Linked DNA regions of Danio rerio. The protein of the gene in region 3 purifies or fractionates together with the protein of the main gene of each other region. This does not show direct contact. Links are inferred from orthologs where the notes say so. Each region holds a gene or a part of one and is shown on either strand. Other genes may lie near its edges.

Region 1 (3,760 bases), on a different chromosome or scaffold from region 3:
CTTTTGACTTGATCTTTCAAAGTGAGCTGAGTTGAGAGAAGAGCAAGCGATGGGAAGGAAGTGTGGAAGGAGAATCAAATTTAAATGACAGATTGAAGGGAAACAAGATTTGTTGGTGTGAAATACACTGTATTTGTACTGTCCATATGAGAAGATCAAAGTATGTGAATTACACTAGATTCAAACGTACGCTCTCTGGTTTCCATTTTCATGTTATATTTTGCAGCAATTTCTCTCTTTTTGGTTAAGCATTATCTCCACTACTTTTTTAAATGGACATTTCTGTTACCTCAAACATGTTACTTGTGAGTTCATTCATTAATTTACCTTCAGCTAGTCCCTTTACTCATCAGGGGTTGCCACAGTGGAATGAACTGACAACTTACCCAGCATATGTTTCACACAATGGATTTCCTTCCAACTCCAACTCAGTACTGGGAAACACCCACACACACCCATTCACACACATCCACTATGGTCAATTTAGTTCATCCTATTGACCTATAGCGCATGTCTTTGAACTGTGGGAGAAATCAGAGCACCCAGAGGAAACCCTCTCCAACACAGGGAGAACATGCAAACTCCACACAGAATGCCAAATGGCCCAGCTGGGACTCAAACCACTGACCTTTTTGCTGTGAGGCGACAGTGCTAACCATTGAGCCATAGTGCCGCCCTAATAGTAAATATTGTACCCTATTAAATTTTTCATCCTTTCCATAAAAAAGTGTATTTGTGTAATCGTCCATGTCTCTGTTATTTATAAAAGCCACAGCACAGTCCCTGTTGAGTTTCTTGGATTATTGTTTAAGTTTTCTTATTCTTTCCTCTAGTGATAATACTGAAATGGGTAACATTATTTAGAAGATCTGTATCTTTACTAAATTAATTTAACATATGCTTACAATATCCTTTAATTTTTTGTTTCATTTTTTATACTTTATTTTAAATATATATATTAAAACTTGCATTTACAAAATGTGTAAATATGAGAAAAAAAATCAAGGACTTGTTAAATAGGTATTTTTAAAACTCAATTTGAAACAAAATTTTAATTATTTGAGTCTAGTAATGGTTAATAAAGAAGGGATTAATGCATGCATAAATGCTGAACCACCTTCACAGCACTATTTTTCCACACACACTAGGGGGCAATGTAGAGTTTCACGCACGCGCAGTTGACCTTTGACCCTGCATAGGGAGACAGGCTGTGACGTCATCTCACAACTGGACTGGACCGACTGAATGAAGTCAGCTGACTTTTCATTGCTGCTCACGTTTCATCTCACTAAAGGACCCAGACTGTCTCATCATCTGAGGTATTTACTCTTTTTTTGGACAACCATAACATTTTCACGCTGTTGCGCTATTGCAGAAATGTACATTTAGATTAGCCAGCCAAAAAATAGGACTAACGTTAGGATTTTCCCCATTCTCTTTGCAGCCATTCATAATCCATAACATTCATAAACAGCTCATTATACTGCTGTATGTAGTGTATAATTGTGTTCTGTGTCGATCTGAATGTCCGCTTCGCCTCAGCGTGCAGCTCATTCTGTTTGCTTAACGTTATTACATGTTTGTTTTTATTGCAGCATTGGGAATAATCCTACTCCGATTGCTGAAATATTTAAATATATTGTATATAAAGAGATTTGAAATGCTTACAAACCTGTGAGATCAATCGGTTTAACTAACGGGACACGAAAAATGAGCAAAGATTTCAGCAAAGGTCAAATTCTATCGCAGCATCGCGATCATGTGATCATGCAGCATCTCTTTACAGATCGATCTCCTAAAGCGGCAAGCATTAAAAATATGTAATACACTGAAATAATGTATATTTAATAATATGTTATGTTTAATCTTGTCGTTTTTGACTTTGAAAAGATTCTATTTGGGCACTGAGATATGTAGTTGCCCGCTTAGAATATTTATCTGCTGCTTTCCAATTAACAACAACACGCTAGGTTTGCTGACTAACTCACATATGCTAAAATTGTCTGTAAACCAACACCCAAACAGGCAAAAGCAAAGTTTTACACTAAATAAACGAATTGTCTCTCTTAATCAAAAATCTCATATGAGCATCATGTGATTGTAAATTCACAAAAACATGGAAGTTCCACTGGTTCCTCATGAGGCTTTTAATAACCAGTAATGGCTATTTTTATGGATGATATTGTCAACGTCATGCGTTTTATTCTAGTCTTTGTGGGATAGTTAGTTGTCTGTTAACTATAAATGATTTGATCAATTTTAATTTAAATTCGGGACTACAAAATATAATGTTATCCACATTTACTCAACAGTTTTTCCTACTTCCTCACCATGATTTCTTTTTTTACAGTCAGTCAGTGTCATGTGCTGCTGGTCATGTGACTGAGTTTCATGTTAGACTTGTATGGAATGCTTTATAATATAAATTGGCTGTTAAACATTTGGTTTCCTTTTGCATTTTATATGACTTAACGTGTAACAGAAAATGTAACAGAAACATAATTTTAAATTATAGCTATGTTTATACCACTATATAGGAATAGGGATAAATACAACAACCACGTGGAGCTTATAGGTCTAGGAAGTGTAATATTAGGTACAGAAAGTAATCCAAATAATCATCTGCTTTATCTTTCCACGTTTTGTATAATTTCATATCAGACACATTAAAAATGGACTTCTCCAAGTTGGCCAAAATCCGAGATGAGGAGCGGGAGGGACAATTTGGATATGTGCATGGTGTATCTGGACCTGGTTAGTACAAATAAAAATGTCATAATATTTGATTTTAATTAATAGGTTACCATGAGTTTTTTTTTTTTACATTTTTTTTTCATTTTATGTTTTTAATATTTAAAGCTTTTAATTTTATTTTTCTCTATTGTTTCCTTTTTTATTTCCTCTTTTTTTTTTGTTAATATGTGACCAAAGCTGTTAATTATTTTTTGTTAATTTTATTTTTTTTCCTAAAGATTTAATTTAATTAATGTGACCATACTTTTTCCTTGTTAGGTTTTTATTAAGTATACCCGAATCTTTGCATTTTATTCTATATTATTGTTTAATTTTGTTGGGATATTATGTTGATAGGGTGTCTATTTTTATATAGTAGAGTTTTTTGTTTTGTTTTTAAATTTTTGTTTATTTTTCTCTTTTTAATAATTTTTTAATGTCACCAGATTTAATGATTTGTTTATTTTTAATTTTAGTTTTGTTGGATTAGTATGACTCTGGGTGCTCCGGTTTCCCCCACAAGTCCAAAAACATTTGGTTTAGGTGAATTGTGTTGGCTAAATTGTCCATAGTGGATGTGTGTGAATAGTTGTGTGTGGATGTTTCCCAGAGATGGGTTGCGGCTGGAAAGGCATTTGCTGCATAAAACATGGTCTGGATAAGTTGGCGGTTCATTCCACTGTGGCGACCCAGATTAATAAAGAGACTAAGCCGAAAAGAAAATGAATGAATGAATGGATTAATATGACACTTCTGATGAACATTTTTATTATAATATTTTTTCAAACCCATCATTTATTGAAGTTTATTTGAATCTTCGAGTCATTCATAGTACAGGTTCCACTAATTGTCACAATTCTTCTACTTGTGTTACAGTGGTGACAGCCTCCAGTATGGCAGGAGCTGCTATGTACGAGCTGGTGCGAGTGGGTCACAGTGAGCTTGTGGGAGAGATCATTAGACTGGAGGGTGATATGGCCACCATTCAGGTCTATGAGGAGACATGTATCCTATTTATTACCTCAGG
Region 2 (3,760 bases), on a different chromosome or scaffold from region 3:
ATTTCATAAAGTACCTTAAAAAATATATTTTTTTTCAATTTTTTTTTACAGCAGTTCAAGTTAAGTCATTTTAAGAAAAGAAAAACAGCCAAATATTTTTTTACAGATGTATCATAATGCGTGTGAATGTGTGCGAATCATTAGCAGTATTTCAAAAATTGACAGATGGAAAACACAGAAACGTACCTCAAGATTCTGGAAGACACTATCCTGTTTGTTTCCAAATACTCCTCCATACATTGTAAAGTCATCAACACTCAACTGAATGAAACAGAGACAACATTCACCAAAATAAAACTGTAGTCTCACTTGAATTTTTGAAGCACATAGTAGTAGCATTGCCAATGCCTTTAAAAACATTTCTTCTGCCAGAGTTTCTAATAGTGCAGTATTCAGAAATGCATAATGTTGTGTGTTTTTTTAAATGCAGTGTATGACGGAATCATATGACACATTATCATTAAGTGAAAATAAAGGAACATTCGTTTATTTTGCTTCTTTAGCTTAGTCTATTCCTATTCCTGTTAACTATTTCAGTATTTTTTTAATGCAGTGGGTACCCTGCCAGCCAGAACCCAGTATTGAGAAACACCCATACATTCATTCACACACACATACATACACTACGTCCAATTTTGTTTACTCAATTCACCTATAGCACGTCTTTGGGTTTTGGGGGAAACCAGAGCACCCGGAAACCCACGCAAACATGGGGAGAACATGCAAACTCCACACAGAAATACCAACTGACCATGCCACCAATATAGGAATATTTGAAATTCGACTTATTGCATATTTTTATTGTATTTTATCAACATGTGGTAATGCCCTGGCATGCTTTAGTAATCACTCATCATTGAAAGACATGACTGAATTATTCATATGAGAATAAAGTCATTATTTGAAATAAATGACATTTATGGCTGTACAATGACAATACATATCGAATGGACAAAATAAAAAGTCTATCATCTCATATTATGCTCTGCTATTTATTTCGTGGTGCCACAAAATGCATTGTTTACAGTAATACTTTTTTATAACTTATATGATTATTTAAATTACGTAATTTATAAGCAATATTACATGCCATGTGGCACCACGGTGGCGCAGTGATTAGCACGATCGCCTCACAGCAAGAAGGTCATTGGTTCGAGCCCCAGCTGGGTCAGTTGGCATTTCTGTGTGGAGTTTGCATGTTCTCCTTGTGTTCGCGTGGGTTTCCTCTGGGTGCTCTAGGTTCCTCCACAGTCCAAAGACATGCAGTATAGGTGAACTGAATAAGCTGGATGATTCCCAGCTTTGTGTTGCGGCTGGAAGGGCATTTGCTGCATAAAACATATGCTGGATAAGTTGTCGAATTATTCTGCTGTGGTGACCACTAATTAATAAAGGGACTAAGCCGGAAAAAAAAAGAATGAATTACATGTCAATACGGGAATGCAGACAGAAACATGAATAACTGTATTGCGAGAAAGTTGTAATCTTGAAAGTACTATATTTACATTGTGCATTTTATTTCGCAACATATTTTATGTTGGACATGTAATCATTCATTTTTTAAAAAGTATTATATTTGATCAATATCTATTTAAAATTTCTATAAATTTAATCAAACATTTGCCCGGAATGTCTAAATAAATGAACAAATGAGTCAATTTCTGAGTATATACTTTCTACAGTCTTTTACATCTCCTTTTATAATACTGATATAAAAAAAATTATATTTTTGTGTAATGTGTAATGTAGTGTTTACTTTATCCTGCAGGAAGAGCAGTAGATTATGAGGTGTTGCGCTCAAAGCTGTGTTCAGGTATGATTCCAGCTCATCCATAGACACAGTGTGACCTGCTGACGGCGCGTTCACAGGAGACAAGACAAACCTACACAAGCACAAACTACTGTAAGAAGACAGGCCTAGAAAAAACGCATGCCATGATTATACTACAACTGCATATTATGGTTATCTTGAACCAAATATGTAATACTGTTCAGCTTTTACAAAAATCCCCCAATAAGGGCTAAAGCCAGCTGCCAATGAACCCCTTTCCAATACATCTATTTATAACAATCAAACGGAGATTACGTGTTTTTTTCCCCAACTAAACCTTTTAACCAAGTTTTTTTTTTTTACCAACATAACATTACCACACAAGTGACAGTCCTCAACAATATAGTATATATATATACATAAATATCGAGATAAATTAGTAAATGACTCAGACTGTTCGATGATTCAAACGTTTAAGCTCATACTAAATGTGTTCCTCATGTTTTCAGAACTGGACAGCGACCGCGTCATTCAGCTAGCAAAGCATGAAAGCTAACCATCGCTTTCACGATTCTCCGTGACTGTACTCTTATAACATGCGTCCTTTACCCGTCACTCGCCCATGCGACCAGCGGGACTTGTTCATCACTCTTCGCTGCTGCGAACAAACAGATAAAAACGTGTAAAATCATCCTGGCGTTGACGCAGACTCTCCCTACAGCAGCCATCTTCAGTGCGATAAGCCCTGACGTCACAACCGGCCATCTTCAGCGGCGGAGCCGTGATGTCACGACCGCGTGATGAGATGAATTTGTAATCTGTTTTAAAAACGCTACTTTATGCATTGCTGTTTGTTTTATTCTTAAATGTAAACAGACACAGCATGACTTGTTTAGTAATGTTTTTTGATTTTATTTAGCCAGTTATAAAACCAATGATAAAATATTGATGGCTTGCTTTGTCTTACCTTAAAAGAAATAGTAGGCCTGTGTGAGTATGTTAAATAGCAAATTTCCAAATAATGTTTAAAGGGAAAAAAGAAGTATATATATATATATATATATATATATATATATATATATATATATATATATATATATATATATATATATGTGTGTGTGTGTGTATGTATGTATATATATATATATATATATATATATATATATATATATATATATATATATATATATATATATATATATATATAATGTTAAAGAGGAGAAAAGGAAGTAAATATATATCTATTATGTTGAAATAATCATCTCTCTGGTGACATCATTTGACCTTCTTTCTATTTCCTGGAGATCTACAAATAAAATCTCATTGTAACTCTACTTTCACTTTTAAATTATAGTCATTTTGTCATGATTTCATGTGAAGCTTTTAGTTCTGGTGGTGTGACATTTAATCCTTAAGGAATTGTTGAAAATAACTATATGCACACACACACACAGACACACACACACACATGAACGCACGCACACACACAATATTTCATGTACTGATGCTACTAGTGTAATTAATCATCATAAGTTAATCTAATTGAATAATTTGCTGACATTGATCAAAAATCAAGTATGAATGCTTTCTTTAAAGGTCGCTTTATCAATTCACTCCAACAATTCATCCCACAGATAAGCAGCAGTAAGAAAACTTTTATTCAGATTTTCCATTGTCCATTCCATTCACATTTTCATCACATAATTTATAAATAAATCACAGTTTGGCCAGCTTTCATTTTTATTATACATTTTTAGAAATAGCTTCAGGTGTGTATTTCTTCCTAAAAATGTATTTTACAAAATAATAATACATTTGACTTGCTTTTTAGTCTAGGTCAATGCATCTTTTTGTTGATGTAGGAGTAGTTTTGATTTTGTATCATAGTACATCACTATATGTTTTCTCTGTCCCACACTGGCAAGCTAAAATTACAAAATGTGTTGTCAGATATAAAATGCATAGGTACACCTGAGAAAAAAACTGATT
Region 3 (3,660 bases):
CTGTTTTCTTCAAAATATCTTTTGTGTTCAATAGAAAAAGGAAACTCAAAGATTTGGAACCACTTGAGGGTGAGAGAGTGAGTGAATTTAGATTTTTGGGTGAACAATCCTGCTAAATAATTCAGTAAATTTCCTATGTAGTAACATCATACCTTCTGCAGAGCAATTGTAAGGATCCTAATGGCGTCGGTGTACTGAGGTGAGTCTGTGCCGTAGCGGCGAACAATCTCCTCCAGTCCCGCCAGCTCCAGAGAGTAAAGATCAGGAGCAGGATCTTTAGCCAGATGCTTGTGTTTCTGCAACTGTAGCAAACGAACAGTTCAAACAACACAGAAACGATCAATCCTCAGTGGAAATATCAGCACAATTCTTTTTATACTTTAAAACTGCCACTGTCATTTTATTTAATTATAGATTTGATTTAGAGATTCTTTTAAACAATTTTCAAAGGAATTAGTTGGAAAAACTTTACAAGAAGATTGCATTTACTAATGAACATTCGGTTGGTAGTTTGTTAACTCCCGACTAACTAATGTTAACAAACATAAATTTGGATTTTAATAACACTGGTAAATGTTGATCAATATTAAAGAAATGCTGTGGCAAAGTATCTTTCATTTTAATGCTGGGTTTACATAAAGTCTGGAGCAGCGCATCATAGCTCTAGTTTACTCACGGGATGTTTCTCCTCACACAAATTTTTCACTTAATATCAATTATTCAAACATGTTGAAACGATGCAATTGAGGTGAATTCCACACATTTGCAGCAAACGCATCAGTCATTCTGCATTATTCGCACTACGTGGCAGTAATTTACCTTTAATCGCGTTTACAAATTTTTTTTACGTAATTTACTTGTGCGAAAAGTAATTCCGCCATTGATGTGAAACCAGCATTAGTTCATGTTAGTAAATACATTAACTAATCTAACCTTATTGTAAAGTGTGAGCAAACAGTTGATGTACTATGAGATTTCTATAGACAAAACAACACAAAGAGGTCCTACAAAAATCCGGCTACATCAAATAATGAAGAAAATGTTGACATTTTTTCTAGGGCTGTGCGATTATTTGAAATCGTTTCGAAATCGCACATTTGTGCAATTTCTAAATTTGCCTAACAGTCCTCAACCACCAGGCCCCAGACCGGTACCGGACATTGAATCAATTGGTTTTGGACCACAAAGAAATCATTAATTATTTCTGTTTTATGTATTATCTGAGTCTGAACAATCTTTTATTTTGAAAAATCACTGTATTCTCTCTGTAACTTGAGTGCCCCAAATTTAACCCATAAGCAGCAAAATGAGTAAGAAACAGACGTCTTTGGAAAGCTTTTTGCGAAGGGGAAATGCCCAGGGAAGGACTCACAAACTCGCACCGCGAGTCACGTGACAAGAGCTGACCCTTCAGCTTGTATGGAACATACAAATTTTAGTGGACTAATTATCTTAGACAAACACAGAACAGCCAAACACTGCAGTGCTTTATAATTTTCTCCATAAATAAAACTTGTATCAAAGCGACAGCTTGTCATCCTCTGAGAAAACAATTGGTTGCCTAGCAACCTATGAACCTTTGACAACCCAACACCAAACTGATATACTGAAAAGTGTATATTCCACACAAAGTATAAAGCCGATCGGTTGATCATTCTGAAAGTAAAGATGTTTTCAACCTGGTGTGCATGGAATATGTGCGCGCGTCACTTCCGATATTCGCGCAAGCCGTGCGCCTCCATTGGAAATAAGGAACTTGTGCGCTTAAAAGTCACGATATGCGAACATCCTGTTTCATGGCAGCATCACAAAGAGGTCTATGATCTATTAGGGTTGTGTGATTTGGGGAAAAGATCTAAATGCGTTTTTTTTTTTTTTTGACAAATATTGCGATTGCAATTAGATTTGCGATTTAATTTTGTAGTCAAGCTTCACCTCAATAATCTGTAGGCCGTGGCAACAATTCTGCGACAGCTCCTACAAATGTTTTTATTCGGTGTGTGTGAGTTTTAAACTAAAATATTCTCATATTACCAGTGCTGTTTCTCTTTTTCATATCAATTCATCTATTAATTCCTCTGAAGTAGCAGATGCTATAATCACACTTGTCCGTGCTTTCCTGTTTGTTTGTTTGTTTTTTTATTGTAGGCGTTCTGCATAGTTCAACTGCGCAATTTTGATTGGGCAGAACAAACTGCTCACTCAACTGGCTAGTAAGACTGTCACACGCAGACCGCAGTCACGCATTTGCTCTGGGTTAGGGAACTTAAATAATACATAATTTATATCGCAGCCTCTTGCGATTTAACCAATTGCGATTCCGATTTGATTAATCATACAGCCCTATGACCTATGCATGGCAAAAACAAATCTGTGGACTCGTAGAAAAGTAGACGCAACTACCTTAAACATGTGGTCAGACAGAACATCGGACCCTTACTTTTAATTAACGGCACACACACACACACACACAGTAGTCTATTTATTTGTATTGCCATAGGTCTGTTCTAAAGCCAACTTGTTAAACCATCACAATGTGATTTCAATTTTTTTGCCTTGTGTCTATTTTAGAGGCATGTTACAGGTCTTTGATAAAGATCTAATTGTTTTCCTTTGGAAATATGTTTCAGAATCACATGTCTGTGTGTGTCAAAATTGTGATTAAAATCGAAATCGCAATATTGTTCAAGAAAATCGTGATAGGTTTCTTCTGCTCATATCGCCCAACCCTAATTTTGTCCCAACTGGAAAGACGGAACTAAGGAAAAAAAACTAAGAAATGAAACCTAATTTATACGATACCATAACTTATACGATATCCAAACACAAATAACAACAAAAATCAGATCATATAAGATCTTCAAATTTAGTCAACGATAAATATACTAAAATTCATGTAGGAGACTGCCTGTTTAAAACAGTTCCCTTAAAATATTCTCACAAACGTTATAATATGTTGTAGTGAAACTCACCAGAGCTGAGATGTCATACAGCACCTGAACCTCAGAGAGGAACAGAAGATCAGCCTGAAACACACACACACATTTATATTTAGACCAGCATGTAGTTTGGTGTGGGAAAACAAACCCAACATGCACGTTCTGAACACGGTTTCAATCTGTAACAAGTACTTTCACATATCAATAAATAAAGTCAGAGAAAGCCATTTCCTACTTCAGCCTAAAAACAGTTCATGTCTGGATAGCTATGTATATATACACTGCATAGTCTAAAAAATAAACTGATGCTGAAATACTTGAGCACGCGTTTACCTCATTGTTGCGGCTGAGAGAGACGAGAGGAAGGGACGTGAGAACGGATCCGTCCTGAGACAGACGTCCACGAATCTGCTGCAGAGTGACAGGAAGATCCTCAAAAACTGTGTTGGCCATTCCCATCATATACAGCCTCTGAAAGACAAAAATCAAGACTTCTTTCAATATTAGACACTGAAAGCAAATGTTCTAGGTTTAATACATGGTATTTTATCATGTTTTTATAGTTTGTTAGAATTACCGCAACAAATGAGTAATCATTCATCATTGTAATCATTTTTGCCATTTTACACACTGATATTTGATTTATTTATTTTCAATATAAAAACAGATGCCTGACAAGTAATATGATAAAGAATACATAATAAAATTAAGTAACACTTTA

Evidence for each region. The genes of interacting proteins can lie anywhere in the genome.
Region 1: the proteins of atp6ap2 (region 3) and atp6v1ab purify together in Homo sapiens (co-immunoprecipitation; 3 studies listed by BioGRID and IntAct, with this or other methods). This does not show direct contact. The link is inferred for Danio rerio from reciprocal best matches to the Homo sapiens genes ATP6AP2 and ATP6V1A.
Region 2: the proteins of atp6ap2 (region 3) and atp6ap1a purify together in Homo sapiens (affinity purification with mass spectrometry; 5 studies listed by BioGRID and IntAct, counting the BioPlex papers as one, with this or other methods). This does not show direct contact. The link is inferred for Danio rerio from reciprocal best matches to the Homo sapiens genes ATP6AP2 and ATP6AP1.

Annotation. Positions count from the first base shown.
Region 1 is NC_133199.1:25,049,865-25,053,624, reverse strand, and holds the start of atp6v1ab (V-type proton ATPase catalytic subunit A), read left to right. Parts: upstream 1-1,257; 5' UTR 1,258-1,319; intron 1,320-2,661; 5' UTR 2,662-2,672; coding exon 2,673-2,754; intron 2,755-3,609; coding exon 3,610-3,738; intron 3,739-3,760. UniProt on the Homo sapiens protein: Catalytic subunit of the V1 complex of vacuolar(H+)-ATPase (V-ATPase), a multisubunit enzyme composed of a peripheral complex (V1) that hydrolyzes ATP and a membrane integral complex (V0) that translocates protons.
Region 2 is NC_133198.1:4,945,321-4,949,080, forward strand, and holds the start of atp6ap1a (ATPase H+ transporting accessory protein 1a precursor), read right to left. Parts: upstream 2,544-3,760; 5' UTR 2,500-2,543; coding exon 2,381-2,499; intron 1,884-2,380; coding exon 1,757-1,883; intron 262-1,756; coding exon 187-261; intron 1-186. UniProt on the Homo sapiens protein: Accessory subunit of the proton-transporting vacuolar (V)-ATPase protein pump, which is required for luminal acidification of secretory vesicles.
Region 3 is NC_133197.1:10,778,541-10,782,200, forward strand, and holds part of atp6ap2 (renin receptor), read right to left. Parts: intron 3,411-3,660; coding exon 3,273-3,410; intron 3,027-3,272; coding exon 2,973-3,026; intron 303-2,972; coding exon 153-302; intron 1-152. UniProt on the Homo sapiens protein: Multifunctional protein which functions as a renin, prorenin cellular receptor and is involved in the assembly of the lysosomal proton-transporting V-type ATPase (V-ATPase) and the acidification of the endo-lysosomal system.